Stegostoma tigrinum: one gene and its partner. The protein of the gene in region 1 purifies or fractionates together with the protein of each later gene. This does not show direct contact. Links are inferred from orthologs where the notes say so. Each region holds a gene or a part of one and is shown on either strand. Other genes may lie near its edges. The genes, in order: ctnnal1 and adra1d.

Evidence for each region.
Region 2: the proteins of ctnnal1 (region 1) and adra1d purify together in Homo sapiens (tandem affinity purification; 3 studies listed by IntAct, with this or other methods). This does not show direct contact. The link is inferred for Stegostoma tigrinum from reciprocal best matches to the Homo sapiens genes CTNNAL1 and ADRA1D.

What each region holds. Positions count from the first base shown.
Region 1 is NC_081355.1:106,361,817-106,378,130, reverse strand, and holds the start of ctnnal1 (alpha-catulin), read right to left. Parts: upstream 8,718-16,314; 5' UTR 8,614-8,717; coding exon 8,527-8,613; intron 1-8,526. UniProt on the Homo sapiens protein: May modulate the Rho pathway signaling by providing a scaffold for the Lbc Rho guanine nucleotide exchange factor (ARHGEF1).
Region 2 is NC_081354.1:171,205,229-171,221,456, forward strand, and holds the start of adra1d (alpha-1D adrenergic receptor), read right to left. Parts: upstream 8,248-16,228; 5' UTR 7,814-8,247; coding exon 6,880-7,813; intron 1-6,879. UniProt on the Homo sapiens protein: This alpha-adrenergic receptor mediates its effect through the influx of extracellular calcium.

The DNA of each region.
Region 1 (16,314 bases):
TAGTTTCTATTTCAACTGTTATTTCTGATCTGTGTAACCAAAAGGGTCATCAAGATTTACATCAGATTATTTTTAACTATCTCTGAACTGGACTTTCAGAAAGGTTATCTCTTTGCTCGGTATACTCAAGTAATTTTTTTTTATGTTTTACACAGAATGCAACAAATATTTTCAAGTTACTGAACTATCTTAGCAGGGGCTAGAGTGTCACATATCAAAACCAATTGATAGGAAAATGTGCAACTTAAATTACAGAAAGAGGGGATGCAAAAAATAGGTAATTTCCCCTTATTAAACAACATCGGAGTCAATTAAAAGTAGAAATAATGGTCCTAGCTTTCCAATCTGGGTTGGAATCCCTAATGCTAACCCAGATCAGACAAGATGTTACCCATTTACCTTTCCAAGACTTTACCGGGCAATCTCCAATGCAGGATTTATCAGAAAAGAGGCATTGCAGCAAACCACAAAGGCAGGATCAGAGTGGAGAGTTGCAAGAATCTGTTAACAGCAATGGCTACCATATTCCAATAAGGATGCACAATTTTAAAGTCCTGAATCCACTTTGGTAACTGTTTAGAGAAGCTAAATATGGCAAGTGGATGACACGTAAGGCATCAGATGACTGGGGACATAAGTTTCCAGCTCGGGAGGGGAGAGGGTGGTAATTGGGTGGGTTGAGCAGGCAGGATGGCAAGTGGGTAGTGGATAGATTAAGGGGGTAGGGTTGCAGGAGGGTTAGGGAGTGTGGGTAAGCAGTGAGAGTTTGGTATGCAGGTGCTTGTGGGTTAGAGTCAACTGTGGCAAAGTGGATTGGTGTGTTTAAATGGGTAGCCATGGTGTCACGACTCAATTGGGAGGAACGTGCCAATAATCAAGCCCCACGATTCCACAAACTGCCACAAACTTATGTACACAATTACACCATTAAGATGATCACATTGCCTGACAGGCCGTTATTCAGGACAAACATAATTCACTTGTGGTAGACTAGTTTGCAAGATTAGATCACATGAAACACAGGGAGAACTGGCCAATTGGATACAAAACTGGCTCGAAGGTAGAAGACAGAGGGTGATGGTGGAGAATTGCTTTTCAGACTGGAGTCCTGTGACCAGCAGTGTGCCACAAGGATGCTCTTTGCCATTTATATTTTTTTTATTCATTCATGGGATGAGGGAGCATTTATTGCCCAGAGGGCAGTTAAGAGTCAACCACATTGCGGTGTGTCTGGAGTCACATTTAGGCCAGACCAGGTAAAGATGGCAGATTCCTTCCCTAAAGGGCATGAATAAACCAGATGGGTTTTTCCAACAATTGGCAATGAATTCATTGTCATCATTAGATTCTTAATTCCAGATATTTATTAAATTCAAATTCCACCATCTGCCATGGCAGGATTCAAACCCGGGCCCCCAAATTGTTATCTGGCTCTCCGGATTAACAGTCCAGTGATAATACCACTTGGCCATCGCCTCCCCCTGCGATTTGTAATTTGTAAATGATTTGTATGTTAACAGAGGAGGTGTGGTTAGTAAGTTCACAGATAACACCAAAATTGGTGGTGTAGTGGACAGTGAAGACGATTACCCCAGAGTACAACAGGATCTTGATCAGGTTGGCTAGTGGGCTGAGGAGTGGCAGATGGAGTTTATTTTATAAATGCGAAGTGCTGCAGTTTGGAAAAGCAAATCAGGGCAGGATATATACACTTAATGGTAAGGTCCTCGGGAGTGTTGCTGAACAGAGAGATCTTGGATTGCAGGTTAATATTTCCATGAAAGTGGAGTCACAAATTGATAGGACAGTGAAGAACATGTTTGATATGCTTCCCCTTACTGGTCAGTGCATTGAGAATGGGAGTTGGGTGATCATGTAATCGCAGTATAGGACATTGGTTAAGCCACTCCTGGAGTACAGTGTGCAATTCTGGTGTCCCTGCTACGGGAAGAATGCTGTGGAACTTGAATGGGGTCAGAAGAGATTTACAAGAATATTGCCAGCGTTGGAGGGTTTGAGCTCTAGGGAGAGGCTGAATAGGCTGGGGCTATTTTCCCTGGAGTGTCAGAGGCTGAGGGGTGACCTTGTAGAGGCTTATAACATTATGGAGGGGCATGGATAGGGTAAATAGCCAACACCTTTTCCCTGGGGTGGGGGAGTCTAAAACTAGAGGGCATAGGTTTAAGGTGAGAAGGGAAAGGTTTAAAAGGGACCTTCAGTGCAACGTTTTCACAGAGGGTGGTGCAAGTATGGAATGTGCTGCCAGAGGAAGTGGTGGAGACTGTACAATTGTAACATTTAAAAGGTATCTGGATGGGTATGTGAATCGGAAAGGTTTAGACGGATATGAGCCAAATGCTGGCAGCTGGGACTAGATTTATTTAGGATACCTGGTTGGAAAGGACAATTTGGACCGAAGTGTCTGTTTGTATACGGCAGCTGTATGACTCGATGACATCAGGTTTCATTAACAGGAAAGTAACTAGTTATAAATCAAAATTACTGTTTAACAAAATGAGGAAAAATTACCAAGTTACTATGATGTGACTTAAACTGCGACTGAAATCCCCAAGCATATATATTCATTCACAAATAAAAACAAACAAAAATAGACTATTAGACACAAACATTACACGGTAGAAAAACATAAACAAAATAAAAATACTTTCCGTACATCAAATCCAGACCACAAAGATGGGATATGTTATTTCTCAAAGTTCTTTTGATTCTTAGCAGTGATGACATCATCCAGCCGCACAGCATTGGTCAATCAGGTGGACCTAGCCCTTTTGTGGAATTCTTTCCTTTTAACAGTTTCCAGGTTTTTGGTCATTTTCCATATAGGGAGTGAAGGGACAGAAAACTTTCAATGTTTGCGAGCTTACATTGCACTCTCAGGCCTGTGACAAAAGCGCGGCTGGAAAAGCCTGAAACCTGTCATCAAGCTGTTTTCCTTAACTCTGAGACAGTCTCAAAGTACACATCTCACTACATCACAAACCTTGCATAGCTAAAGGGGACACCAACAATCCTACATGACATTCATTGCCAAATAGCTGAAAGGAGAGTTTTTTGTAATGTCCAACTTCTGTTTTTCAGTTTATAGTCCATAAAGGAGATATATGTAGCTTAAGTAAGGAATTATCAGCAAGTCTAATACAAATTAAGAGTTAAAATGTGCTCTAACATTTCATGGCTAACTATTAAGGTTCGTAGTTCAGAATATTCCAAAATCTCTGCCTCTAGCTGGAAGTTGTGAACTTTGTCAGATGGTTTAAAATATCCTCTATCCTTTGGAAGTTTACATATCCTGGACAATTACTGCATCATCAGTGCATCAGGTCACTCAAGTAGCCCAGATGCATATCTTTCAAGCCAAATTCAACCCTTGACTATCCAAAGAACAGAAGATCCAGGCCACAAAAAGCAATCAAGTAAATATTATTAAACCTTGACGGGTCTGAGTATAATCTTCTCAATAAGCAACTGCAGTTTTAGGGTTGCTATGGTTGGAACCAACACATTTTTCTACTTAAGAAATAGGGGTGCAAACAGAAACAAATGTAGAATTGCAGATGAATTAAAATTGACTCCAGTGGTTATGCATGGAACTGTACAGGGTGAATACGGTCACACTGTATATTTTCACAGTACACTTCATGTTTCAGTTACTGCATTTATTCTACCTGCAAGGTGTTGTTCCAGTAAAGTGATATTACCTGATAAAGAGCTCCACAGATTGAAGAATTGTTCATGTAGCTTTCTACTATGGAAATCTGGGACTGATACTAAACAAAAGGGAGCTGCTGCAGTAATCTTTTGTCACTGTTACCATCAGCTAGTCATAAATGCAAAACTTGTTTAGTACCAGGCTAATCTTAGCTCCATGGACAACCATCAATTCAGTCACAATTCTCCAATTAAACTTGATGCAACAATACTAAATCTGGAGAAAGATGAGCTTAATCAGTTTGGCAGAATAGACATTTTTTAAATGTCAATGTTCAGTGAGATTTAGCAGCACTCACAGCGGAAATGCAGAAAGTTGGTAGCAGATGCACAAGACAATTAGGAAGATTCATGACATGTTGACCTTTAGTACAAAGGGATTAGCATGAGGGAGTAAAATAGTCTTGCTACAATTATATTTTGAGAGCATTCCTGAGTACCATATACAGCTCTGGTTTTGATATCCAGGATGGAGACATTTGCTGGGGGAAGTACATTGGAATAAATCTTGTGAAATCTTCAATGACAGGATTGGCCCATGATGAGAGATTGAGTACACTGGGTCTAGTCCCCAGAGTTTCCACAAGAAATAGTAAGAAGAAATTATTCGGCCACTCAGACCTGGTCTAACTTTCGGTGCAATTATGGACCAGACCAAACCGCTTTAAATATATCAAGGAGATAGCCTAGACCCCAACTTTTATCTTGTTTAAAAGGCAAGTCTAAGGTGCTGTATTCCAGATGTAATTGGATTGGTTACACTACTCGAATTAAAAAAAACTCTACATTCTTACCCTCATTTAAAATACAAACAAAAGAAATAAGAATTGCTATAACTTTAACTCAATTGGAAAACTCAGCAAAATAATGGATTATTTAACTACTAAACACATTGAACTCGGCCTCATATACATTCCACCATGGAGGAAACCCGGAAGTGAGGCAATCCATCGCAACGGACCCCAGAATTTGCAAACCAGGCAGGAAAACACACCGACACTTCAACAGCGGCTGCACTGAGGATGGTACCAAGCATGGTAAAGAAACATCTGCAGAACAACAAACCAGCTCAGCCAGCCAACCAACCTCAACACATTTAAGCACAATATAATAATAGTGAGCCACATTACTGAGCAAAGAAGGTAGCAATTTTGACCCAAAGCTGTCTATGCTGGTACTTTTCAAAGTGCTATCCGGTTATTCTATCCCTTTGCTTTTCTGTGATAGTCTTGGAAATTTTGTCAGAATATACAGCTAATTATCTTTTGAAAGTTACAGCTACTGTGTGTGCTTTTGCCACCTTTTCAGGTTATGAATTCCAGATCATAACAACACGCAGCACAACCCAATCCTCATTCCCCCAAGATTAATGTGTATATGTAGAGTACTCTCTCGAGCGTAACAGTTTATATCAAGGACTTTATTCTGGAATAAGTGTAGATTTAAATTTAAATTGTATTAGATCAGTATTCAACACTGTGACTGACCAGCCTATTGCACTCAATTTGAGTAACACTTTCAGAATTTTGATTTTTGTGTCCTCTAGGTATGTGTAAATACTCTTGGATATGCATTGAAGCGGGAAGAAAAGCCAGAGAGTTATTTTTAACACATTTGAAATTCCTGATTTGAAACTGATTCCAAAGTAACTTTCAAAAATAAGTTAGAGGGGAGTGGAATCAAACAGCAATAATGCGCAATGTATGAATGCAGGCATCTGTAAAGTCTTGTGCTACCAATCCATATTGAAGCACATAGTCTTGTTGCTGTTTGAATGAAAGCCCTTTGAAAATAATCCTGTCAAACTGATAATCAAATGTAAAAATTGTCACCAAGTACACTTCAGGAATTGCTAGCAGTGTTGATGCACGAAGAACCATCATGGCAATATTCAATGTTTCTAGGCAACATTGGCATCTGTTTGTCATTTTCAACACTAAGGCATAATGAGTACATCACAACACAAATCTCATCATCATGTCTCATTGTACATCTTAAAACGCAGCAAGATATCCTGCAGTAGCTACAAATTTTAGTAGCACTCAAAGTACTGTATATCATCTCAGTATTGCTCCAGGTACTAGCATTAATAAGTCTTCAGGATGGACCAAGGGCTATGTGATGGAAGACTCAAGTCAAGTTCTGTAATTATGTGGAAAATAAATGCAGACACCCATTTTTAATAACGAGAAAAATGAGTGTGTTTTCATGTTACAACTATAAATGCTGCTTGTTCAAACATACATTTTATAATCACATTTCAATAGTACAATACAAAGAGTACTCAGTGCAAACTTGAGTGATTGAGCACAGGGGCAATTGCTTTCTACCAATGGTCGTATTGGCTGAAATAAAATTGCATTTAAGCAATGGACCAAAGGAAAAGAATTGAAGCTCCTCAAAAGGCCAAGCTCTCAACGCCACAACACAATATAAACTCTAAGTTCTAAATATCTGCTTTTTCTCAATGACCTCTCTACTCTTCCCTTTCAATTCTGACATAAATGTTCCTTCAATGTACAAGAAAATAGTAAGTCAGAAACTTTCATAGAAATTGCCAAATATTCATATTCCACTGAAATTTAACTCAAATTTTAAAAAATTATTTGTGCATCTTTTGCAGGCATTTTCTGTCCCAACAAACCAGAATTTGCTGTACCACAGCACATATAAAGTAACTGCCAAACATGAATTTTGTTCTTAAACATGTGAGTTTTTAAAAATGTGCATAGCCAGTTACTGGAAGTATGATCTGACAATACTTCAGCAGAGTATCTGGGACCTGGCTCAAACTGTAAGCAGCTGCACATCATATTACCCAGTCAGAATGGAAGATTATGAAATTCACAGTGCAAAGACTGAGAAGCACGTACAGGTTAGAATGGGGAAATTCATATTGGGTGCAGTAGAAGAAATTTTCATTGTTGAAGAAAATGTAAAACTTATAAAAAGAGAAGTAAAAATGGACAGAGGTAGGAACACAAAAAAGGAACAGTGCAAGCTGTTTTAAGTTTTACATTTTCTTCAACAAGGAAAATCTGAATGAATGAAACTCACACTTGAAATAGCCCATTTTCATTGCTAGAGAAGTTGATTGATCATGGTTAACACATCATAAGTAGGTACGGAGGCTAAAATGGTCAAGACAACTTTCTCTGCTTAGTTGATTCTAAAATCTACAGGAGAGTGAGAATTTTGTGCTATCTGACACAGTTCAATGATGAGCCAGATAATGAGATGAACAGTGCAGCAACAGCACCCCAGTAGCAACTTTCAAATGTCCATGTTCCATTGTGCCTGAAGTCACTGTAATATGTGTACATCAATAACACTGAAAGCCATTAGCTTAGCAGTAGCATTTTTCAGAAAGCTTAATTTGTGACAGGAAATGAATATTTACATCCATTGCAAATGTGATGTTTAGACAATACTGTAGTACAATGTTCACATTCATGGAAAATGTCATGAATCCATTTTGCTTGGTCCACTTTCTCATGTGTTGCTCAGAACATCTATTGAACTGCATTTTCAACGATTTAAACAACATCAATAAAATTAATCTTACAAGAACAAATTAAATCAGAATTCAAAAATCTATCAAAGCATATGGTTTAATCTGATATATAGGAGAAAATTTGGTGATCTTAAGAGGTTTCTTTCAATAACCCAAGTTCTCTTTCTTTGCCTAATTATATACACATAACAGCGGGATTATGCGATTTGCTGGTGAAAAGGACAACTAAGACAAAGGTGTCATAAAAAGCTTAAACTGCAAAACAAACATTATGAGCACATGCTTCAATTTAAAGCATCTGCCGGTAGAAAAGTGGCCAGAGCTCGATAAAGCTCAGCCTTGCAGAGTTGTGCTGGTTGATTTAACAGAGTGATGTGAGCGAAAAACCATCAGCGGATCACGAGTGGACATTCAGCAAGTTCCCAATACACATTTGTGGACGTTGCATTATTTGTCATGACGAAGTTGTGTTCGGTTTGGAAGTTAAACGGGAAACAATACGTCCCTGTTCTCCGGTGAAAGTCAGTGTTGCTCTCTCCGAAAGCTACTGAGTTTGAACTTTCCAGTAAAACACTGGCTCCATTCTGTGAACTGCATGCCTCTGTACTTTTTCCTGTATGTCTACATGTCCCTGTGGGGCGGCAGTACATTCGCGTGTGGCCTCTCACCGGCTGCAATGTGCTGTCAGAACGGTTCCCTCCGGATAAAATAACCACTCCATCCTCTCCTGCTACATGGAGTGGAGGTCTTTAACAGAGCTGCACGTTAGCTTTGAGCACGGTACAATGGGAAAAGGGGGCTGCCAGCACAGGGCACTTTAATCCATCACCTCTCCTAACAGTGCGGGAATGAGTTTGTTGAGTAGTTATACCCACCTGAAAACACTAAAATCCCAACCGTTGAAGATGCCAAGGGATTAATTTTATACATCACCCATGCTTCTGAGGGTCCCAGGACTTCTATATTCACGTAGCTCTGGGAGCCACTCAGTTCGTTTAATGTGGGTCTCTCCGCATGCTTTCGGGGAGTCTCAGATCTTTTACAATCTCATTGATATACCTTCGGTGGAGGGGGCTGGGGGTCAGAAGTCCCTCTCTTTTTACTTGAAGGGGGTGTCGGAGAGATGCCCCTGCTCCCCTACCCCTATGTGGCGACCCGGAATCTGCTCATTTACCCGGAGGGGTCTCCTGCCTAGCTTTCATTCTGCGTTGCCCTGAGATCCCCCTGCCTCTCACTCACTCAGTCCAGCGCTTCTCTCGCCCTCCCTTTTCCAGCACACATACCTGAGTCACCAGGGGGATGAGGGTCTGCTCCACCGACCTGGTTTTGATCTCCAGTCCGGGATCGGTGTTGCAGTGGGAAGAAGCCATGATACCGCTGAGTCCGCTGGTACGGCTGCAGATGCAGAGCCGATCTCGTTCTCTCCCTCTCCCTCTCCGAGTGACTGAGAGGCGGGAGAGAGGGAGTTGCGTCTCTTTCCGGCTGTAGGAGGAGCTCTGGAAAGTGTTGAGAGGGGATGGGGGAGGTAACAGTGTTGGGATTTGAGTTTTCATTGGTGCTCTGACTGTGGTACATACGGTTTTCTCGTTAAAACGTGGTTTCAAAACAGCAAATGCCATTGAGTTCATTGGCGAGCTGCAGTGTGGTGCTCAGAGGAAGGGAAGCAGCGGCGGCGGCCACTGCTGGTGACCCTAGCAGCCCCAGGCACACAGCATCGCTCCAGAGCCATGCCCCGCACCCTTCTTCTCAACTTTAACACCAACTCCGGGGTCATATTCACAAAACATGCAGCCTCAGGCTGGTTACTGCACTCTGCTGCTGGGTTCCTGAGAAAGGTTACTCGCAAAATCAATCGGAAACCAATTTCCCTTACACTTCTTGCCAAAGATAGGTAACTGCAAAAAAAACTCAATCTTTTTTTGGTGGAGGTGGTTTTAGCTTAAATCTGTTTCCGTTTGTATTTTTGATTTGCAGACGTGTTTAGCAACACAGCTGCCCTCACTGTCTGTGCTCAGGTTGGTCTAACCACTTTGCCATTTGTCTTTTTTTCTTGAAGTATGTTTTACTGTACTTCAATCCCACATAAACGGGATCTGGTCTTGTTAAATTTTGAAGATTTGCAGTGATAATCTTATCCTTTTGCTCCCTGACGGGAAACAGGCATTTGATAAGGTTCCCCATGGTAGGCTCATTCAGAAGGTCAGGAGGGATGGGATACAGGGGAATTTAGCTGTCTGCATACAGAATTGGCTGGCCAACAGAAGGCAGCGAGTGGTAGTAGAAGGAAAACATTCTGCCTGGAAGTCAGTGGTGAGTGGGGTTCCACAGGGCTCTGACCTTGGGCCTCTACTGTTTGTAATTTTTATTAATGATTTGGATGAGGGGATTGAAGGATGGGTCAGCAAGTTTGCAGACGACACAAAGGTCGGAGGTGTCGTTGACAGTATAGAGGGCTGTTGTAGGCTGCAGTGGGACATTGACAGGATGCAGAGATGGGCTGAGAGGTGGCAGATGGAGTTCAACGTGGATAAACGCGAGGTGATGCATTTTGGAAGGTTGACTTTGAAAGCTGAGTACAGGATTAAGGATAGGATTCTTGGCAGTGTGGAGAAACAGAGGGATCTTGGTGTGCAGATACATAGATCCCTTAAAATGGCCACACAAGTGGACAGGGTTGTTTAGAAAGCATATTGTGTTTTGGCTTTCATTAACAGGGGGATTGAGTTTAAGAGTCGTGAGATCTTGTTGCAGCTCTATAAAACTTTGGTTAGACCGCACTTGGAATACTGCGTCCAGTTCTGTTCGCCCTATTATAGGAAAGATGTGGATGCTTTGGAGAGGGTTCAGAGGAGGTTTACCAGGCTGCTGCCTGGACTGGAGGGCTTATCTTATGAAGAGAGGTTGACTGAGCTTGGTCTCTTTTCATTGGAGAAAAGGAGGAGGAGAGGGGACCTAATTGAGGTATGCAAGATAATGAGAGGCATAGATAGAGTTGATAGCCAGAGACTATTTCCCAGGGCAGAAATGGCTAGCACGAGGGGTCATAGTTTTAAGCTGGTTGGAGGAAAGTATAGAGGGGATGTCAGAGGCGGGTTCTTTACACAGAGAGTTGTGAGAGCATGGAATGCGTTGCCAGCAGCAGTTGTGGAAGCAAGGTCATTGGGGACATTTAAGAGACTGCTGGACATGCATGTGGTCACAGAAATTGGGGGTGCATACATGAGGATCAATGGTCGGCACAACATTGTGGGCTGAAGGGCCTGTTCTATGCTGTACTGTTCTATGTTCTATAACTACAAGACTTTGTCGGCCAACAAGGCTCAGAACTGTGGTGGGAGCATTGGTTTAAAAGATACTGGTTTAAATGAATTGCGGAAGCTCGAAATCTTAAGCAATAACAGAAATTGCTGGAAAAGCTCGGCAAGCTATGGAGAGACAAGATGATCAGAGGATTAGATAGGGTGGACAGTGAGAGTCTTTTTCCGAGAATGATGACTTCAGCTTGTACAAGGGGCACAGCTACAAATTGAGGGGTGACAGATTTAAGACAGATGTCAGAGGCAGGTTCCTTACTCAGAGAGTGGTAAGGGCATGGAACGCCCTGCCTGCCAATGTAGTTAACTCAGCCACTTTAGGGGCATTTAAACAGTCCTTGGATAAGCATATGGATAATGATGGGATAGTGTAGGGGGAGGGGCTTAGATTAGTTCACAGGTCGGCACAACATTGAGGGCCAAAGGGCCTGTTCTGTGCTGTATTGTTCTATGTTCTAGAAAGCAGGGCCAACGCTTGGAGACACCAGTGACTCTTCAACAGAACTGAACTTTGCTTTCTCTCCACAGATGCCACCAGATCTGCTGAGTTTCTCCAGCAATTTCTGTTATATTTTAAATTATGGTTGTTGTACCCAGTCATAAGTATTTGAAAATTTTGATATCACTGCAAAATATAGTACAGAAGTGATGTTTATGTCTGTCTTCTTGGAATAATTTAACCAATACACTCACAGATCCCAGATAACAAAGTGTAGAGCTGGATGAACACAGCAGGCCAAGCAGCATCTTAGGAGCACAAAAGCTGACGTTTCGGGCCGAGACCCGGATTCAATTCTAAGTGATCAAATTTGAGAGTAATAGCAAACTAACAAAAGCATTATTCAGTCTGAGAAGGTGGTCTGGAAACTAGAAAATAAGTTGAACAAAGGTGAAAGTGTGGAGAACAGTGCTGCACATTTTTTTGAAAAAGCACCAAAAGAAACTATTCCATGAAGTGTGAGAATGACTAAGATGAAGCAGAAGGGAGGTTTCATTGGAAGATCACAGACCTGAAATGTTAATTGTGTACCCCAATCTTCACAGATGCTGTCAAATGTGTCCAATATTTCTGGAATTTTCTGTGATTTTAGATTTCCAGCATCCATATTACTTTGCCATTGCCAAAAGAGAGCCATTTTTTAAAATAGATTCAGCACTCACTACTATAACAGCAACACAAATATGCCATTCCGCACCTCTAGATTCTTCAAACATTCCAGTAGGTTGCAGTTAATTTATATCTCATTTTTATTTATAAAATTTGATCTACGTCCCTTGATACCCTTGCCTAATGAAAATCTGTTAATCTCAGTATTAATGCAGTTAATTACAATTCAAAATTGATCTGATTACACTTACTTCTGTGGCTATTTTGAGCATAAGAATTCCACATTTTCAACTAGACTTTGCGATCACTCTTGCATCATTTACTTTCAGTTTTATCCATAAAATGCCTATGTCACTGTCAAGTCTGACAATAGTTTTGGTGGGGACATAACGGCAAACCATCTTCTTGAATGTTACTGGATGGTTTATGAAGCCATTTTAAAGGCCAGTCCATAGTCACTGCTTTTGCTGTGTGTCTGAAGCCATAAATAGACCAGACAGGAAAAAGGTGGCAGATTTTCTTCTTTTTTTCTTTTCTTCTTTTAATGACACTCATGAACAAATACATTTTTATAACGCTCTTGTAGGTTTATGGTCCCCATTATTGATACAAGCAATTATTTAATTGAATTTAAATTCTCTAGCCATGATGGCATTTTAACTTGTATTTCTGGATTGTCACTCTGTTTCTCTGGATCAGAGGTTTACTAACATGACCGCTCTGTAATGAATCTACAAATGTTGCTCCTTGTCTGAATTCCTTCAACAGACAATATTATTCCTTGGCACTTACCTCTGCATTATCTCAGCGGGAAATGGCCTGGTGGTATTATTGGTGGACTGTTTATATAAAGGCCCAGTAATGTTCTGGGGACTCGGCAGATGGTGGAATTTGGACTCAATAAATATCGAAATTAAGTGTCTAATGTTGAGCATGAATTAATTGTCAGAAAAACCCATCTGATTCACTAATGTCCTTTAGGGAAGGAAACTGCCATCCTTACCTGGTCTGGCCTACATGTGATTCCAGATCCACAGCAGTGATTATTTCTTGGCTGCCCTCTGGATAATTAGGGATGGGCAATAAGTGCTGGCCTGGCCAGGGATTCCCTCATCCTGTGAATGAGTGAAAAAAAATTAATGTTTTTAGGATGTCAAATACTTTCAGTTAGATTACCACCCAAATTTGTGTTGACAAGGGAATGCATGTGACGTTATTGGATGCTGTTGCTGAGGCCAGATCATTGTTGTGCTCAAAATCAAATGCTACATGTCAAATGGGAATAAGTATGAGCAACTTTTAGCCATAGAGTGCCGTTAGAAGCAATTCCAAGAAGGATCATTTGTCTCATTTTTGGAAGAAAATTAATCTTAGGAAGAACAGTTGGACAAGTTGTGATCATCTCCATTGGAGTTTGGATGAATAAGAGGTGATCTTCTGAAACACAAAACATCCTGGGGGAATTGATAGACTGAATACCAGAAGGATTACACTTAAACTTGTGGGGAAACTAGAATTAGGGGAGTCAGTTTAAAAATAAGACCAAGATGAGGAGAAATGTTAGTCTTTCAAAGGGTCATTGATCTTTGGAATTCTCTTCCCCAGAAAGTGGTGAAGGCTCAGTCATCAAATTTATTCAAAGGGAAATTAATTAGGTTAGATGTTTTCGGGTGATGGGGGAAGATAGAAAGGTGAAGTTGAGAACACAGCTAGATCATCCAAATGATTGAATTGCTTACTCTGGCTCGTAAGCCCTATGTTCAAAGTTCCATTGACTGTAAACATATTTAAATGTTCAAAAGCATTTCACAGGACCATCATACATTTGACACTGAGCAACATAAAGAAGAATGAGGGCAGAAAACCAAAAGCTTAGTCAAAGAGCTAGTTTTCAAAGAGTGTCCTAAAGGAAGAAAATGAGCAAGATAAACAGAGAGCCTCAGGGAAGACATCTCAAATATTGGACTTTGATAGTAGAAGGCACAACTGTGTGACCTGGATGTCCTGCTCTTTATAGTCTAGACAGTGACAATAAAGGTCATTCATCCAGACTGAGCAGGCCCAGAAGATGCTAACTGACAGCAGAATCATATCGTCAAAGAGGCCTTTTGGCCCATTGCGTCTGCACTAACAAAAACTACTTTAACGCTATAGGAGATCCACTGGTGTCGAAGTATGGAAAATGCAGGGTGAATTTATGAGAGCAATGAAAGGGCAGGACAAAATGTTGGCAGACAAGATTAGGGAGACTCCCAAGATATTCTACAAATATATCATGGGAAAGAAGATAACCAGGGAATGAGTAGGGTCCTTTAGGGACCAAGGGTCAAACCGCGTGTGGAGCTGGAGGGCATTGGTAGCATGTTAAATGAGTTCTTCACATTTCTCTTTACTCAGATGATGGAAAATGCAAGTACAGAATTTTCAAAGATGGACTATGAAGTTATTGAGCAGATTGATATCAGAATCGATGAGCTATTGGAGATTTCAGCGGTGTTAAAAGTGGTCTATGGGAGTTATATCCCAGTTGTCTCCCAGAGCAGCCTGGGATACAAGGGGGAAAATTAAAGGAACCCTGGCCCAAATTGTAAAACCATCTCTACCACTGGGGAGATGCCAGAGGACTGGAGGATAGCTAATGCAATTTAACTTTACAGGAAGGAAGTGGAGATAGGTAAGAGAACTATAGGTAATGGATCTACTATCAGTGGAAAATCTTGGAGAAAATACTGTAGGACAAAATTAATATCCATATAGAGACATAAGATTTGACCGTAGACAGTCAGCATGGCTTTGTCAGAGAGAGATCATGTCCAACAAATCTGGCAGAATTTTTTTGAGGAGGTGATCATGCATGTAACTGAGAGTATAGCAATGAAGATTGATAGAGGTCTATGAGATTATGAGGGGCATGACCAAAATGGATAGAAATTGGCTTCTCCCCTTATTCAAAGGGTCAATAGAAAGGGGACACAAATTTCAAATGAAAAGCAGGAGGTTTAGGAAGAACTGGGGGAAAACCTTTATCAGTCAGGGGGTGGCAGGGTCTGGAATGCACAACTTGGGAGGGTAGTCAAGGAGGAAAACGTCACAATGTTTTGAAAAAGTGCTGAGATGAGCACCTTAAGTATCATAACATTCAAGGCTGTGGGCCTTGTGTGATTAGTGTAAGAAGTGGTGTATGTTTGTCAGTACAGACTTGATAGGCCAAAGGACTTCATCTGTGCTGTATGATTCTATGATTCTAAATACTCATTCAAGTACTTTTTAAAGGTTGTGAGGTTTCCTGCCTCAACTACCAGTAAGTCCATTCCAGGTTCCCACTACTCTCTGGGTGAATAAATGTTTTCTTTTACTCCCCTCTAAACCTTCTGTCTTTTATCTTAAAATTATGTCCCCTCGTTATTGACCCTTCAATCGCCTGTCATCCTCTCTAAGCCCTCACTCTGTTATAAAGAAAACAACCTGACCCGCAACATCAGCCTTCCTGCTCCTCTGATGCTGCCTGACCAGCTGTGTTCCTCCAGCTCCACACTGTGTTATCTCTGACTCCAGCATCTGCAGCTCTTGCTGTCTCTAAAAGATCAGTTATAAATTTGGCGACCTTCCCCAACTTCACAGCTACTTCCCATTCAGCGTTTGTCACTTATAAATATTTTGAAGAATTTTGTATTGTAGAAGCTGCTTCAGGAATGCATTTTTTTGGAAGTTAAAAGTAAATCTTTTAACTGTTCAGTGCAGTATACAATTTAGCCTTTTCTAAACAGTCTGAAGTACTCCAGCTGTTTAGTGTGCAGTGCCACAGTAACACAGAATTATAACTAAAAAGAAACTTGTGGTTTTCAGAATATTTGTGGTGTCAGTACAAAGTGGGATTAAAAATTTGGAAAGAAGACATGAGGATGTCAAAGGGAGAAACCACAGCAGATGAAAAGATGACCTGGCAGTTAAGTAGCAGCTGTAAGTAAACAAGCAGAATGTGTGTGCATCAATGGCATGGACAGAGTTCACTTTAAGCATCACTCTAGTGAATGGGTAGTTACCAATGAGTGAAATTAATAACTAAGCACATGTTTTCTAAAGTGACAATGTTTTCCAGCAACCACATATATATTCCACATATAAATTCTAGGTAAAAGTGAGAACGCATTTTTCCCTTGTTACCTCCAGTTCCTCACATTTTGATCAACAGTAAAACAACATGCCACAGGTAGAATAACTAAATTATAATACTATACTTGTGATGTTATTCAAATGGACCAACTCATTTATAATATTTTCTGTATAATGAAAAGTTGAGGATAAAGTTGTCATAGTCCTACAGGACCACAGGGTTGCTCTCTCTTACAGAGAGTTGACTAGAGTCAAAAAGTAATACAGCATGGAAACAAGTCCTTCAGCCCAAACTGGTCCATGCTGATCAAGGTGCCCACTCAGCTAGTTCCAATTGCCCGCATTTGGTCCATACCCCTCCAGAACCTTCCCATCCATGTACCTATCCAAATCTTTTTTTTAAATGTTGTTATTGTATCTGCCTCAACCACTTGCTCTGGCAGCCATTCCACATGAGCACCACTCTCTGCATGAAGAAGTTGCCCCTCAGATCCTTCTTAAATCTTTCCCCTCTCACCTTAAACCTATTCCCTGTA
Region 2 (16,228 bases), on another chromosome or scaffold:
GCCTATCTAGTTTCTCTTCATAGCTGAATCACTCCAGCCCAGGCAACATTCTGATGGATATTTTCTGCACCCTCTCATAGTGCGGTGACCAGAAACTGCACACAGTATTGCAACTGTGGCTGAACTAATGTTAGATACAGCTCCATCACAATCACCTTGCTCTTGTAACCAATATCCTAACAAATAGAGGTAAATATCCCATGTGTCTTCTTAACGACCATGTCTACTCATCCTGCTGCCTTCAGGCACACCAAAGTCCCTTTTATCCTCCACACTTTCAAGAATATTGCTATTCATCAAGGGCCCACTTGGTTTGTTAGTCTTCCAAAATGTATTACCTCACACTTTTCAGGATTAAATTCCATTTGCCAAAATTCAGCCATTCTGACCAGCCCAACTATATTGTCCTGGAGTCAAAGGATTTCCTCCTCACTATTTATCGTTCTATATCATTGGAGAACTTATTGATCATATTCCCTACATCCATGATGAGATCTCAGTGGTTGAGTTTAAGGAGTGTCTCAATCAAATCTTTGTCCACAATGTAAAGCTTCAGAAAAAGATTGCAGCAAGATTTTATATTTGTCATAACTGCCAATGTCAGTATTTTCTTTGTATCATAGGAAAAATTAAACTTCCTTAAATCTGTATTTGGAAGGAGATTTTTGATTTCAGTGAATTTTTAATTCTGAAATGCACTGCCTGAAGGTGTGGTGGAAATAAATTTAATATTAACTTTCAAAAAAGAACTGGATGAATTCTTACAAAAAAAACATGCAGGGATATAAACAGCTCATGGAGTTAGACTAATTGGCTAAGTCTTTCAGAGAGCTGGGCCTGGCATGATGAGCTGAATAGCTTCTTTCTCTACTTGTTATTCCATAAAAGAACACTGAAGAATTCCTTCTGATCTTTCCATTTTAGTCGCAAGTTGTTCTGTTGTACTGTTTACCTAAGGCTGCAAACTTTGTACTGATGCAGGGACTTCTATACTCTGAGGTCACATACTAGGTATTAGTCTTATGATATCCAAGTATTACTTCAACTATAATGCAATTTAGGAAGGACTTGCCTAAAATGGAATCCAACAAAATAATATTAGCTAACCCTAAAATATCAGTCCACAGTTAATTTGATTCAAATTCAAATTAGTCAAATAACAAGTAATTATCATTTGCTTCAAAATGATATACTTGTTTATGGGTTTTTAATTCAAATTTAAGTCATTAGTGCGACCAAAACTTTTAAAACTGAAACTTCATATTCAAGTTAAAAATTTAGATCACAGAAACAAATGTTATTTCTATTTGTAAGATACGTGAAACAGTCCCTCTTCTGCAGCTACACTGGCACTATCCCCCACCTCTTCCTCCGTTACATTGATGACTGTATCGGCACCGCCTTGTGCTCCCACGAGGAGCTCACAGTTCATCTACTTTATTAACACCTTCCACCTGAACCTTAAGACCACCTGGACCATCTCTGATATCTCACTCTCCTTCCTGGACCTCTCTGTCTCCATCTCTGGTAACCACCTGGAAACTGGTATCTATTTCAAGCCCACCAATTCCCAAAGCTACCTCGACTACACCTCCTCTCACCCAGCTTCCTGCAGGAATGCTATCCCTTATTCCCAATTCCTTCGCCTCCGCCACATCTGCTCCCAAGATGAGGTCTTCCACTCTGAGACATCCCAAATGTCCTCGTTTTTCAAGGGGCCCAATTGCCCCCCCACACATTGGTCAAAAATGCCCTCGACCACATCTCTTGTGTTTTCCGCACCTCAGCCCTCGCACCCCCTCCCCCCAATAAAAACAAAGACAGAATCTCCCTCGTCCTCACGTATCACCCCATTAACCCCTGGGTTCAACGCATCATTCTCCGCCACCTGCAATCTGACCCCACTGCGAAGGATATATTTCCGTCTCCACTCTTATCTGCCTTCCGGAGGGACTGCTCTCTCCGTGACTTCCTCATCCGCTCCACACTCCTTACGAGCCCCACCGCTGCCGGGACATTGCCTGCAACCGCAGGAGATGCTACATCTGTCCCTACACCTGCACCCTCACCTCTATCCCAGGCCCCAAGGAAACCTTCCACATTAAACAGATGTACACCTGCACATCCGCTACTGTGGTCTATTGTGTCCACTGTTCCTGATGTGGCTTCCTCGACATCGGGGAGACCAAGCGGAAGCTCAGAGACCACTTTGTGGAGCACCTCTGCTCAGTCCATGACGAACAACAACACCTCCCAGTCACGAACTACTTCAATTCCCCCTCCCACTCACTGGATGACATGTGCATCCTAGGCCTCCTTCAGTGTCACAGTGATGCCACCTAAAAACTGGAGAAACAGCACCTCATATTCTGCCTTGGAACCCTACAGCCCAATGGTCTCAATGTGGGCTTTACGAGCTTCAAAATCTTCCCACTCCCAATCTCATCTCGAGACCAGTCCCCCCCTGTCCCTGCCTCCTTGACCTGTCTGTCTTCTCTCCAACTATCTGCTCCACTATCCACCTTCTATCATTGCCTCCCGCTCTCTCTATTTATTACAGAACCCCCTTCCCTTCCCCCATTTCTGAAAAAGGGTTCAGACCCGAAATGTCAGCTTTCTGGCTCCTCTGATGCAGCCTGGTCTGCTGTGTTCATCCAGCTCCACACCTTGTTATCTTATTTCAATCCTGAATGTCACCCTTTTTCTGTTGGTCTGCCTGGTTTCTGTTGCATTTCAGTTAGTCTAGCATGATACAAGTAGTGCACGAATTATATAGAAAACAATTATCCTAAAATGAACATTAAATGAAAAGAAAAATCTGTATTTTTATAGCATCTTTTCTGAGCACTTTCCAGATCGTGGAGTCTTTAACAGTCAGTGGAGTCTGTTTGCAGTATAGTGTCCTTGAAATGAAGGAAATGAAAGTTCGGTAACAGGATAGCATATGCCTGTAACTCTGCTAAAAGTAAGTTTTGTGTTAGTCCACCAACACCCTAAATGCGTTTGTTTAGGAAATAATTAAAATCCTCACTCCAGAAATAAAAGAAAAGATTATGCCAAATGGGCTTTAAAAGGGGATGTTTTCTTAACCAACCTTACTGAATCCTCCAAGCATAACAGAAAGCATAGACAAAACTATTGTGGTCCACTTAACGTATTTGCATTTTCAAGAAGTATTCAATAACACACAACGTAGCCGAAGTCAGGGGAGAAAATGGATAGCAAGCCGGTAAAGAATCCAACTGCAGGAGATAAGGGATCAGGTGGGCAAAAGGTGTCCCAAAAAGTGCTGGGGCTACTGAGGTTTGCAATTGTCATCATGATAGGAGTGTGCAAATTGAATGAACAATCTCCATATTTGAGGTGACACCAAATGTTATACTTACTAAAGGATAAAGGTGAGCAATTTTGTATTTGTTTGTTTACAGAACTGTGGGTGTCTAAGGTTAGACCAGCATTATTGCCAATCCTTAACTATCCTTGAGAAATATATGAATGATATAGATTATAAACAAACTGAGAGAATTGGTAATATAATGAAATGAGTACAGGAATATAAATAGGTGTCAGGGTGGTTTATTTGGTTGCAGAAATAAGGAGGACACATACTCCTTCAATAATTGGAGTGTGAATGAGATGCAGGATCAGACAAAAGTCAACAGCACAGATCCATACCTCATAAAAACCACGGAATGACTAAAACTATTAAAAGTAACTATACCGGTTGGTAAAATCATAAAAAGCAAACTAAGCACAGGCAATCATTTGTAGATAGATAGAATTGAAAAGCCCTTAGGAATCATGATCAGCTTGAATCAAAGTTTAATGAAACGAGAAAGCTTGCAGTTCCAGTCTGAGTATGATTAGAAAGACATCGGAGATGATACAAAAGAGATTCTTGAGGATGACATCAGAACTGAGTGGATCTTTAATTTCAAAAAGCAATCTCCTAGGCATCTTTTAAGATGATAAAACAGTTTGATAGTGCAGCTGCAGAGAAAATGTTCCCATTTGTGAGGAAGTGTTAAAGGTTATAAATGTAAGATATTATTTGATTAATAAATGAATAAGTTGAAGAGAAAATTCTTTACCCAAAGAATGATAAGAAAGTGGAACATAATGCTGATATAATAGACATAAATAGCGCTACATTTAAAGGAAGATAAGAAAACTCATGAGGCAGGATCACGCTCAACTGTAGATTAAATGCTAGCATGGATTGATTTGGTTTCTGTTTTGTAGCCATATTATAAATGCAGTTAGACACAGAAAACAAAATAGTACACTGTAATTATAATACCAATCAATTATTTGTACACCTGAGACAAAAGTACACCAAACAGCAAATTAGGGATATCAACAACATAATCAATTACAGGGCAGTTAAGAACACACAAACTATCCACTGAATTTCTCTGAAGATGTAGCAGACCTAAATTTTGACAGTGTTCCTTTCCAAATGTAATACCAAGGCAGAAAATGTTCATTAGGAAAACTGAAATCCCTAATAATGTGACTCAACTTTAACAAGTCTCTATCTTAATTATTTCAATGACCTTCCCTCCTCAATAAGGTCAGAAGGAGGGATGTTCACTGATGATTGTGTGCAATGTTCAGCATGATGTGCGACTCCTCAGATACTGAAGGAGTCCATGCTGAAATGCAACAAGGTCTGGACAATATCCACACTTGGGCAGACAAGTGGCCAGTGACATTGGCACCACTCAAATGCCAGGCAATAACTCTCTAAAGTAAGAGACAATCTAACCACAACCCCTTGACATTTACGCAGAGAGTTGTGGGAGCATGGAATGCGTTGCCAGCAGCAGTTGTGGAAGCAAGGTCATTGGGGTCATTTAAGAGACTGCTGGACATGCATATGGTCACAGAAATTTGAGGGTGCATACATGAGGATCAATGGTCGGCACAACATTGTGGGCTGAAGGGCCTGTTCTGTGCTGTACTGTTCTATGTTCTAATGGTGTTACCATCAACAAATCCCCTATCAACATTCTTGTGGTCACTATTGACAGAAACTCATCTGGACTCACCCCCATCAACACATGGGTTACAAGAGCAAGTCATAGGCCAGGATTACTTTCACAAGTAACTTCCCAAAGCTGTCTACTATCTACAAGGCACAAAATCAGCAGTGTGATGGAATACTCCCCACTTAGTTGGATGGTTGCAGCTCCAACAACACTCAAGAAGCTTGACACCATCCGTGACAAAGCAGACCGCTTGATAGGCACTACACCTACTAGCATCCACTTCCTCCACCGCCGAAGCTCAGCAGCAGCAGATGAGTACAAGATACACTGCAGAAAAGATTCACCAAAGAACCTCAGACAGCATCTTCCAAACCCATGGCCACTTCCATCTGGAAGGACAAGGGCAGTAGATACATAGAAACACTACCAACTTGCAAGCTCCCTTCCTAACCTCTCACCATCCTGACTTGGAAATGAATTGCTGTTCCTTGACTTTTGCTGGGTGAAACTCCTGGAATTCCCTCCCTTAAGGCATTACCAGTTAATGCACAGCACATGGACTGCAGAGGTTCAAGGAGGGAGCTCACCACCAACCTCACAAGGGCAACTAGGAATGGGCAGTAAATTCTGGCCAGCCAGTAAAAACCCACATCTCACCAGTGATTAAAACAAAACAATAGAATGCCTAGGTGTGAAGTCCCACTCATAAATTTCTACCAGAAGAGTGGCTCCCATCGGGCTCTAAATTCTGGTTCTGTGCTTCATTCCTATAGATCAGGAATTATGCATTCCCAGTGCATTCTGCCCGCCTGAATTTAATCTGAGCAGCGAGTCTTTGGGAGGAACACAGCATGTCAGGCAGCATCAGAGGAACTGGAGAGTCAACGTTTAGGGCCTAAACCCTCCATCACCCCACCACATCCAGCTCCACACTGCATTGACTCAGACTCCAGCATCTGCAGTTCGTGCTATTCCCGGGATTTTGGCGGGAACGTCAGTTTCTGATTTAAAAAAAAAGACAGTGGAGCATTTTAGTTCTGAGCTGCCCGCAAATGAAACTTGTACCGTGCCACCTTCGAGAGGCGATCACCAGTTAGAATCCAACAGGTCATGAATAAAACTTCGCCCCCACCTCCCCCCATCCCACCTATGGGAAAGTAAAACTCAAAGGATTGATTGGACTGACTGAGCCGTGACCCACCCCGACACTCTTCGATGAAAAGATGGCGAGGCGCCTGAAGCGCTGACTAACCTGCCAGGACGTGATGGGAAATTAGGATGCCTTCCAAATGAAGTCTGTGCCACCGACAGGAGGGTTGGAAGTTTGAAAAGTCGGCATGCGTCATCTGGGTATGAGTGATCTGGATCTCAAAATCAAAACCCGAACACCGTCTCCCTCAGAGTTAGCCGATTTACAGTGAGGTGGGACAAGGAGTGATATGTAATAGTACTGTATTCCTTCGGTTTGCGATGGCACAGCGGCAGTAAACCCAGGTTCGAGTCCCATGTGGTACACAGTGAATCTCTGAACTGCCTAATAGTGGGATAGAGTCAATAGAGGTGAGAACTCACAAGGTTTCAGAATCAGAGAGAGTTGCAACACAGAACCAATGACATTGAGCTACTGAGACCCATGACATGTGATAATATCTGGACTTTGCTGATAATTCTGAAGCGGAGATGGACACACACACACACAAACACAGAGACACATTTACAAGGTTTGTCGACCCTTAACTCTTTAACTCTGATTTCTCTCCGCGGATGCTGCCTGAGCTTTATCCAGCAACATTCTGGTTTATTTTTAGTTGGTTTACACGCAGCTTGACCCTGTTAGAAAGTTCCCCACCCCGTTTTGATCCCGCGCTCTCCCTCACGCTCTACCTACCGAGCGGTAAGATGGTGAAGAAGGGAAGCCAGCAGAGGACGAAGACACCGACCACGATGCCGACGGTCTTGGCCGCTTTCTTCTCGCGGGAGAACTTGAGGAGGCGCATGGACAGTGAACTGCGGAGGGGCGGCGGCGCCTGGCCCCTGGCCCTGAGGGTGGAAGCCGGCTCGTCCCCCGGCCCGGCCGCACTCCGGCAGTGGATCCTCAGCACCAGCTCGGTGCTGTTGCCCCCTCGCTCCCTCTTGACCCCGGCCTCCAGGCTGCGGGTGGTCCTCCGGGCCACCACGTAGATGCGGCAGTACATGGCCAGGATGACGGTGAGGGGCAGGTAGAAAGAGAACAGCGACGAGAAGAGGGCGTAGCCCGGTTCCTCGGTGATGCTGCACAGGGTGTCGTCGGCGGGAGCGGGCTCCTTCCAGCCCAGGAGGGGTCCCACCGAGATGACCAGGGAGGAGAGCCAGAGGAGCAGGAGGATCCAGACCGCTTTCCGCTCGGTCATGATGGCAGGGTAGCGCAGGGAGTAGCGTACGCCGATGTAGCGGTCGATGGAGATGGTGCACAGGCTCATGATGGACGCGGTGCAGCAGAGCACGTCCACGGCCGCCCACACATCGCAGAAGGGCCTCCCGAAAGCCCAGTAGCCGAACACCTCGAGGCTGGCCGAGAACGGCAGGATGGTGGCGCTCAGCAGCAGGTCCGCCACCGCCAGGTTAACGATGAAGTAGTTGGTGACCGTCTGCAGGTGCCGGTTGCACGCCACCGAGAGGATCACCAGAATGTTACCGGCGATGGCGAAGGCGATCAGGGCGCCCAGCACCACCCCCACGGCCACGCCGTCCAGTCCCGCCGCCCCTTCCTCACTCGACCTGTTGCCGGCTCCCCCCGAGCCGTTACCGTCCACACTCCGGTTCGTCCACTCCTCCCAAGTCATCTTAGAGCAGCCAGGCTCTCCATTGGAATGGGATTGTGTGTGTGTGTGTGTGTGTGTGTCGGGGAAGGGGGGGTGGGGGGAAGATTTGGGCAACTTCTTCCCCTGCCCCGCACACCCAAGCTTTGCTCAGGGGATGGGCTCACTCATTCCTCACTGGACTTTAACCCCCTCAAGCCCTCCTGCATCTTCTTCCTTCTCCCATTTACTTCGCGCTGTAACTTTTACTTTCCCCTCTCCCTTTCTGTCTCTCAGCGGCTCACTTTATCCACACAAGCCCAGGTTAAGAAATGTTGCTCCGTCTTTCCACACCCCTTCGGACAGACAGAGAGAGAGAGAAACAAACCGAGAGAGCGGTCAGAAATATCGCCCACGCTGACCACTAACGAAAATCTCTTCAAAGCAGTTGGATGCTGAAGCTTGAAGATCACTTTTCAATCACATTAAACCTCGCCTCCTCGGGATGGTCCCAACGTCACGGGCTCTCTCTCTCTCTCTCTGTGTGTGTATGTGTGTGTGTAGGGGACACTGACAGAGGGCGGCAAAGAGTCGGCTGCTCTACCCCCCCACCCCCCGACCCCTCCAGAGCCAGCCAGCATCCCCAGTTTACTGAAGGAACATTAAAAACTTTTTGATTTCTCCCCATGGATGCTGCCATACCTGTAGTTTTCGCTTTTTAGGCTGAAAACTCCTCTTCTGCACTGATGAAAACTCACGAAAGTCTTGCCCTGTGTAAAAGTAAGGAACCGAAATCTCCATAAATTTTCATATGAGCGCTGTGTCGAATCTCCACGTGAGGATTGGTGCCGGGGCTCGATTGCTGTCTTTTTGTTGAGTTAATTTTTCTAGCGCTTTTTAAAAATTACATTAAAAAATCATTTCTGTTTTTCAATAACAAGCCAGTTTCTCTTCTCTTTTGCCGCTGAACGAATAAAAATTGAAATTGGTATTCCAGATGTCAAGTTGAATCCCTGGAAGGTAAATATTACTGGGCGGAATTACCAGTTCTGTTGTAATAATCCTTTAATATTAACTTTAATTATACGATTACTTTCTGCCAATTTGATTCCATTAAACGCATTGCTTAAACCGGGCTATACGCTTGTGACACGCAGCGACAAAATTTGTTTTGTTTTTAATTCAGTTCAAAAGTGAATGATTCAGTGTCGGAACTCGTTGCTTTCATTAGTCTCGATATAACTAAGACGGCGATTTGCTTAGGAGAGGTGAGGCGGAACTCATCGAAATGTCTCAACTGTTAGCGCACGTTTTGGGGTTTCTGTAGCAACATACATTAATGTAAAATAAATATTCCGACCAAGACATGGTCGAGTAAAACATGGCATTGAACAGACTTGTTTATTTATGTTTTACGCAGGAAGGTTGAAAACAGTCGCCTGACCAGTGTAGAAAATTATCAGAATGGAAAATGTCTGATAATGTTCTGCCCTCTCCTCTAGCTGAGGACCTCTGGCTCTCCTTGCTTCATTCGTTTCTTTAGCTTCTGTGTCGCGCTCTTCTCTCGAGCCCACATCTCTTTCAACCCTTTCTCCATCAATGTCCCCGTCTGTTTTTTTCGTCTTGTTTCTGTACCTCACTCCACTTCACCCCACCACCCCACCTCCTGGTGTCCCCGGCTCCTCTCACGGACTTTTCTCTGATCTTTCCATCCCCAGTTCCCGACTCCTGTTCTATCTTGCCCCCGCCTTGCTGTCGCCTTCCAATCGTCTCTAACTTTGTTCTCTCGGCTGCTTTGCCTGTTATTGTCCTCTTCAACAGCTAACTCTAACTTTCTGACTGAGCGAGCGGACTCGATTTCTTTCATCTCCCCTCCTCCTGCCTCCCGCTCCCTCCTGCCTCCCCCATCCCTCCCTCCTTTCTGCCATCCCTTCCTCCTCTCCTGCTGGATCTATGCCTCCCACCGGAAAGGTCCGGGGAGACTCGAGCCCAGTCATTCCAATTTACAGGGGACCATTATAAGTGTAGTGGGATTTCTGTTCGATAAATAAAGGAGTGGGGGAATTAAAACACACTGTATTGGTAGCTCAAGGTTGCATTATGAATGATTAGCATCGAAGATATCGGTGGTCGCCCAGCGTGACACGGAATTTTATTCTGTCCCGCGTTTGTCTATGAAGCGAATACAAGCGCAGATTCAGATTAGTACACAATTATTGTTCTGAACAAATCGGGGAATTAATCGTTGACTCATAATTCAGGTCAATCTCCTTAGATTCCCAGCATTTGCTGAAGACTGGAATCCATGTTTCCCTGCTCCTTTTATATCTAAGGAGTCCCGTGGCTGAGATTTTACCGAGAACCATTTGAAGGAACAGAAAATCTAAAGCTATTTGCACAGAAGGAGCCAGATTTGTCTCAAAATCTCGCCCCATTCGGTCTGGGAGACCCTGGGGAGACAGTCCCGAAATCAGCCCGATATTAGTGCACCCACACTCAGTGAAGAAGTCACTGATCGACCCGAAAGGTCATCAATGCTGGCCGCTGCTCAGCTCGTCAGTCCGAAAACAAAATCCTCTGCTTGGTCTCCTTAATAATAAAAAAAACCACTCTTTCCCTTGACCCTCGCAGTGTTGTAAATCTCCTCAATATCACAACCCGCGAATCGACCCTTAAAATGTGCGCTGGGAGGACATTAATTCGCGAACACAGTAACATTTCTGAAATCTCATTCCCCCGCCCGGTCTGGATCACAGAAATACCAGAAGTCGCTGATCTGTCCCCGCCTGGAGTGTAAATCCAACAGAAACCAGAAGCGGGCTGTGCCACTCAACTATACACCGCCCCACAGCTAACAGTCTACTGAGCAGAACCGATACAAACAGAATAGATTAGAAAAGAATAGCCTTTATTGTTACTTAGTAGTAAGGGAATGGAACGCTTTGCCTGCAACGGTAGTAGATTCGCCAACTTTAGGTACATTTAAGTCGTCATTGGACAAGCATATGGACGTACATGGAATAGTGTAGGTTAGATGGGCTTGAGATTGGTATGACAGGTCGGCACAACATCGAGGGCCGAAGGGCCTGTACTGTGCTGTAATGTTCTATGTTCTATACAGGAGTACAGTGAAAAGTAAAGTCTCTGCTAAAAGCAGTAACTGTGGACGGAGACAGGCAGCGAGTCATTACAGGAGCTGCAACAGTGCCCGAGGGTGCGGCGGACGTCAGATTTAATCTAGAAGCGAGTGAAGTTGTTATCACCGGAAACCCCAATTGGCAGGTTACACGTGGTGAGATGCCATTTGACAGTTGAAGGCGCGATGGGCCGACTGGGCTCACTCTGGATTCCGACTGTAAAGCGCAAGTTGGGCCGAGACAGAAATGTTAATTCCCTCTGAAGTGGGTGTGTGTTGTAACGATAATAGAGCAATTTCTGGGACAACAGGGAGGGGGATCTGCATCCCTTGGGAATTTTGTTTTACCCTTTCAGTGGCTTTATTCAGTTAAAGGATCGCAAGTCCACCGCAGAATGAATTCAGAGAGCGTGGACCATTCAGCCCAACTCGCCTGTGCTAGGGCTGCTACTCCACAGGTGCCAACTTTAATTTCCTCTGCTTCATCAACCTTTCTCTATATCTAGCTATTCCGTCTTATTCCATCTTCTTGTTTAGTTTACCTCTTAAAGTTTCTAAACAATGTCCCTCAACCACTGATGAGGTCGACATGCCAATCATTCTCTGAGAAAGAGATGCCGTTTTCACCTCCCATTCTTTTGCTAATAGTCCGACATATTTGCATAAAATGGAAACCAGAATCCTGAGTTTGGACTCTGCACAAATTTAACATTGCATCACCAATTTTGAATTGAACACCAGAAGTAACCTCAGTTTTTTTTAGCATTTTTAAACATTGTTTTTCATTTGTAACATTGCTTTCAATTAATCCAGCCCATGGGGACTCTTATTTTCTCATACTGAAGAGATGTTTCTCTTTTGCTTACCCAAATTGCATCACTTCAAAATCATCTATACTAAAGTTCATTCACCATGTAACTTCTTGGTCTGGGAATCGTCTAATACCCTCTTGCATTCTTTTGCTTTCCTGCTCATTGTTCTCACGGTCTGGCATCGTCTGCAATTATTGATCTTGAGGAAGTTGCCCCGAAGTCCAAAGTGTGAAAGTATTTTTTTTAAAAAGTTAATGGGTTGGTCTCAAAGGCAAGGCCAGCATTTGTTGCCCATCTCTAATTGCACTGAACAAGATGGTGATGTCCCCCGCCTTGTGCTGCTGCAGCCGTTGGGGTATAGGGAGCCTGCTGTGGTGTTAGGAAGGGAGTTCCAGGATTTTGATGCAGCACCAGTGAAGGAACAGCAATGTGGTTCCAGAGATAATGGATGCTGGAGAATCCAAGATAACAAAGTGTGGAGCTGGATGAACACAGCAGGCCAAGCAGCATCTCAGGAGCACAAAAGCTGACGTTTTGGGCCTAGACCCTTCATCTGATGAATGGTCTCGGCCCAAAATGTCAGCTTTTGTGCTCCTGAGATGCTGCTTGGCTGCTGTGTTCATCCAGCTCCACACTTTGTGAGCAATGTGGCTCCATTTGACTTAGCTTTTCAAAATTCATTTGTTTTTGTCACTCTAAACAACCTTCAACCACTTCTTTAGAATAGATTCCAATCGTTTTCATAACGCAGATGTTAAATCGACTCACCCCTAGAGCTGAGATAATGGGAACTGCAGATGCTGGAGAATCCGAGATAACAAAGTGTGGAGCTGGATGAACACAGCAGGCCAAGCAGCATCTTAGGAGCATAAAAGCTGATGTTTCAGGCCTAGACCCTTCATCAGAAAAGGGGGATAGGGAGAGGATTCTGAAATAAATAGGGAGGGAGGGGGACGCGGACTGAAGATGGATACAGAAGAAGATAGGTGGAGAGGAGAGTATAGGTGGGGAGGTAGGGAGGGCATAGGTCAGTCCAGGGAGGACGGACAGGTCAAGGGGGCAGGATGAGTTTAGTAGGTAGGAAGTGGAGGTGCGGCTTGAGGTGGGAGGAGGGGCTAGGTGAGAGGAAGAACAGGTTAGGCAGGCGGGGAAGAGCTGGGCTGGTTTTGGGATGCGGTGGGGAAGGGGAGATTTTGAAGCTGGTGAAATCCACATAGATACCATTAGGCTGCAGGCTTCCCAAGCGGAATATGAGTTGCTGTTCCTGCAACCTTCGGATGCCATCGTTGTGGCAATGCAGAAGGCCCATGATGGACATGTTGTCTGAGGAATGGGAGGGGGAGTTGAAATGGTTCGCGACTGGGAGGTGCAGTTGTTTATTGTGAACTGAGCAGAGGTGTTCTGCAAAGCGGTCCCCAAGCCTCCGCTTGGTTTCCCCAATGTAGAGGAAGCCACACAGGATACAGCAGATGCAGTATACCACAGTGGCAGATGTGCAGGTGAACATCTGCTTGATGTGAAATGTCGTCTTGGGGTCTGGGATGGGAGTGAGGGATGAGGTGTGGGGGCAGGTGTAACACTTCCTGCGGTTACAGGGGAAAGTGTCAGGTGTGGTGGGGTTGGAGGGGAGTGTGGAGCGGACAAGGGAGTCATGGAGAGAGTGGTCCCTCCGGAAGGCAGACAAGGGTTGAGAGGGAAAAATGTCTTTAGTGGTGGGGCCGGATTGCAGACGGCGTAAGTGTCAGAGGATGATGCGTTGTATCTGGAGGTTGGTGGGGTGGTATGTGAGGACAAGGGGGATTCTCTTTTGACGGTTATTGCAGGGGCGGGGTGTGAGGGATGAGGTGCGGGAAATGCGGGAGACATGGTTGAGGGCATTCTTGACCACTGCGGGGTCCCTGCGGTTGCAGTCCTTGAAGAACGAGGACATCTGGGATGTGCGGGAGTGGAATGCGTCATCCTGGGAGCAGATGCGGCGGAGGTGAAGGAATTGGGAATATGGAATGGAAGTTTTGCAAGAATTTTCCACTCCTACAGACAAAGGGGGTGGCCATGGGTACCCGTATAGGCCCAAGCTATGCCTGCCTCTTTGTAGGTTACGTGGAACAGTCCCTCTTTCGCCCCTACACTGGCCCTAACTCTGCCTCCGTTACATTGATGACTGTATCGGCGCAGCCTTATGCTCCCAAGAGGAGCTTGAACAGTTCATCCATTTCACCAACATCTTCCACCCCAACCTTCAGTTCACCTGGACCATCTCCAACACACCCCTCACCTTGCTGGACCTTTCTGTCTCCATCTCAGCGAACTACCCACAAACCGACATCCATTTCAAGCCCACCGACTTCCACAGTTACCTGGGATACACCTCCTCCCACCCACCTTCCTGCTAAAGTTCCATCCCATTTTCCCAAATCATTCGCCTCCACTGCATCTGCTCCCGGGATGAGGTATTCCACTCCCGCACATTCCAGATGTCCTCGTTCTTCAAGGGCCGCAACTTCCCCCTCGCAGTGGTTGAGAATGCCCTCGACCGTGTCTCTCACATTTCCTGCACCTCATCCCTCACACCCCGCCCCTGTAATAACCAGCAAAAGAGAATCCCCCTCGCCCTCACATACCACTCCACCAACCTCCAGATACAACGCATCATCCTCTGACACTTCCGCCATCTACAATCCAACCCCACCACTAAAGACATTTTTCCAACCCCACCCTTGTCTGCTTTCTGGAGTGACCACTCTCTCCGTGACTCCCTTGTTCGCTCCACACTTCCCTCCAACCCCACCACAGCTGGCACTTTCCCCTGTAACCGCAGGAAGTGCTACACCTGCCCCCACACCTCCTCCCTCACCCCCATCCCAGGCCCCAAGATGACTTTCCACATCAAGCAGATGTTCACCTGCACATCTGCCAATGTGGTGTACTGCATCCGCTGTATCCGGTGTGGCTCCCTCTACATTGGAGAAACCAAGCGGAGGCTTGGGTGCTGCTGTGCAGAATACCGATACTCGGTCCACAGTAAACAACTGCGCCTCCCAGTCATGAACCATTTTAACTCTCCCTCCCATTCCTTAGATGACATGTCTATCCTGGGCCTCCTGCAGTGCCATAATGATGCCACGCGAAGGTTGCAGGAACAGCAACTCAAATTCCACTTGGGAACCCTGCAGCCTAATTGAATCAATGTGGATTTCACCAGCTTCAAAATCTCCCCTTCCCCCACTGCATCCCAAAACCAACTCAACTCGTCCCCACCTGCCTAACCTGTTCTTCCTCTCACCTATCCCCTCCTCCCACCTCAAGCCGCACCTCCACTTCCTACCTAATAACCTCATCCCACCTCCCTGACCTATTCGTCCTCCCCGGACTGACCTATCCCCTCCCTACCTCCCCACCCATACTCTCCTCTCCACCTATCTTCTCCTCTATCTATCTTCAGTCTGCCTCCCCCTCTCTCCCTATCTATTTCAGAATCCTCTCCCTATCCCCCTTTTCTGATGAAGGGTCTAGGCCCGAAATGTCAGCTTTTATGCTCCTAAGATGCTGCTTGGCCTGTTGTGTTCATCCAGCCCCAAAATTTGTTATCATCCTTAGAGATCACATCTTGTTTTTACTCACATGGAACCCATTTGTTGGATGCATGTCCACTGGCAATGTACCCGTTACAGTCCCAGTATTTTTATAAACTAGTAACTCAGCTATCCCATCTCTAATTTCCATAAGTTTTTTAGAGTGCTTACCATTATGACTTGGAAATTTATCCCATGTTTGGCTTCTGATATTGTTTTATTTTTTTCCCCTCTCTATTTCAGTTGTATTGTTGTAGTAGGGCCCTGGGTAACGCTGTAGAAAAGAGAGACCTAAGGGCTCGTGTACATAATTCTTTAAAATTTGCATCACATGTCGACAAGATGGTAAGGAATGCATTTCGCATCGTTGCCTTCAATGCTGAAACTTTTGTGTATCGGATTTCGGACATTACATTGAGGTTGTTCAGGATGTTGGTGAGGCCTCTTCTGGAGTACTGTGTGCAGTTCTGGTCACCTTGTTATAGGAAAGATATTATTAATTTGGAGGCGACTCTGAAAGGTTTACCAGGATGTTACGGGAATGGATGGTCATGGTTATAAAGACAGGTTGGATAGGTGGGGACATCTTTCACGGGCGGTTGAGGGGTGACCTCATAGAGTTTATAAAATCAGGACGGGCATAGATAAGATGAATAGCAAGTGTATTTTCCCAAGGGTGGCGGAGTTCAAAACTAGGGCGCATATTTTTAAGGTGAGAAGAGAAAGATTTAAAAAAGACAACGAGGGGCAGCTTTTTTACCCAGTGAGTGGTTTGTACGTGGGATGAACTGCCGGAGGAGTGGTGGATGTGGGTACAGTTACAACATTTAAGACATTTGGACAGATACATGAATAGGAAAGGTTTGGAGGGATATGGGCCAAAGTGAGACTAGTTTGGTTTGGGAACATGGTTGGTGTGGACTAGTTGAACTGGATGGTC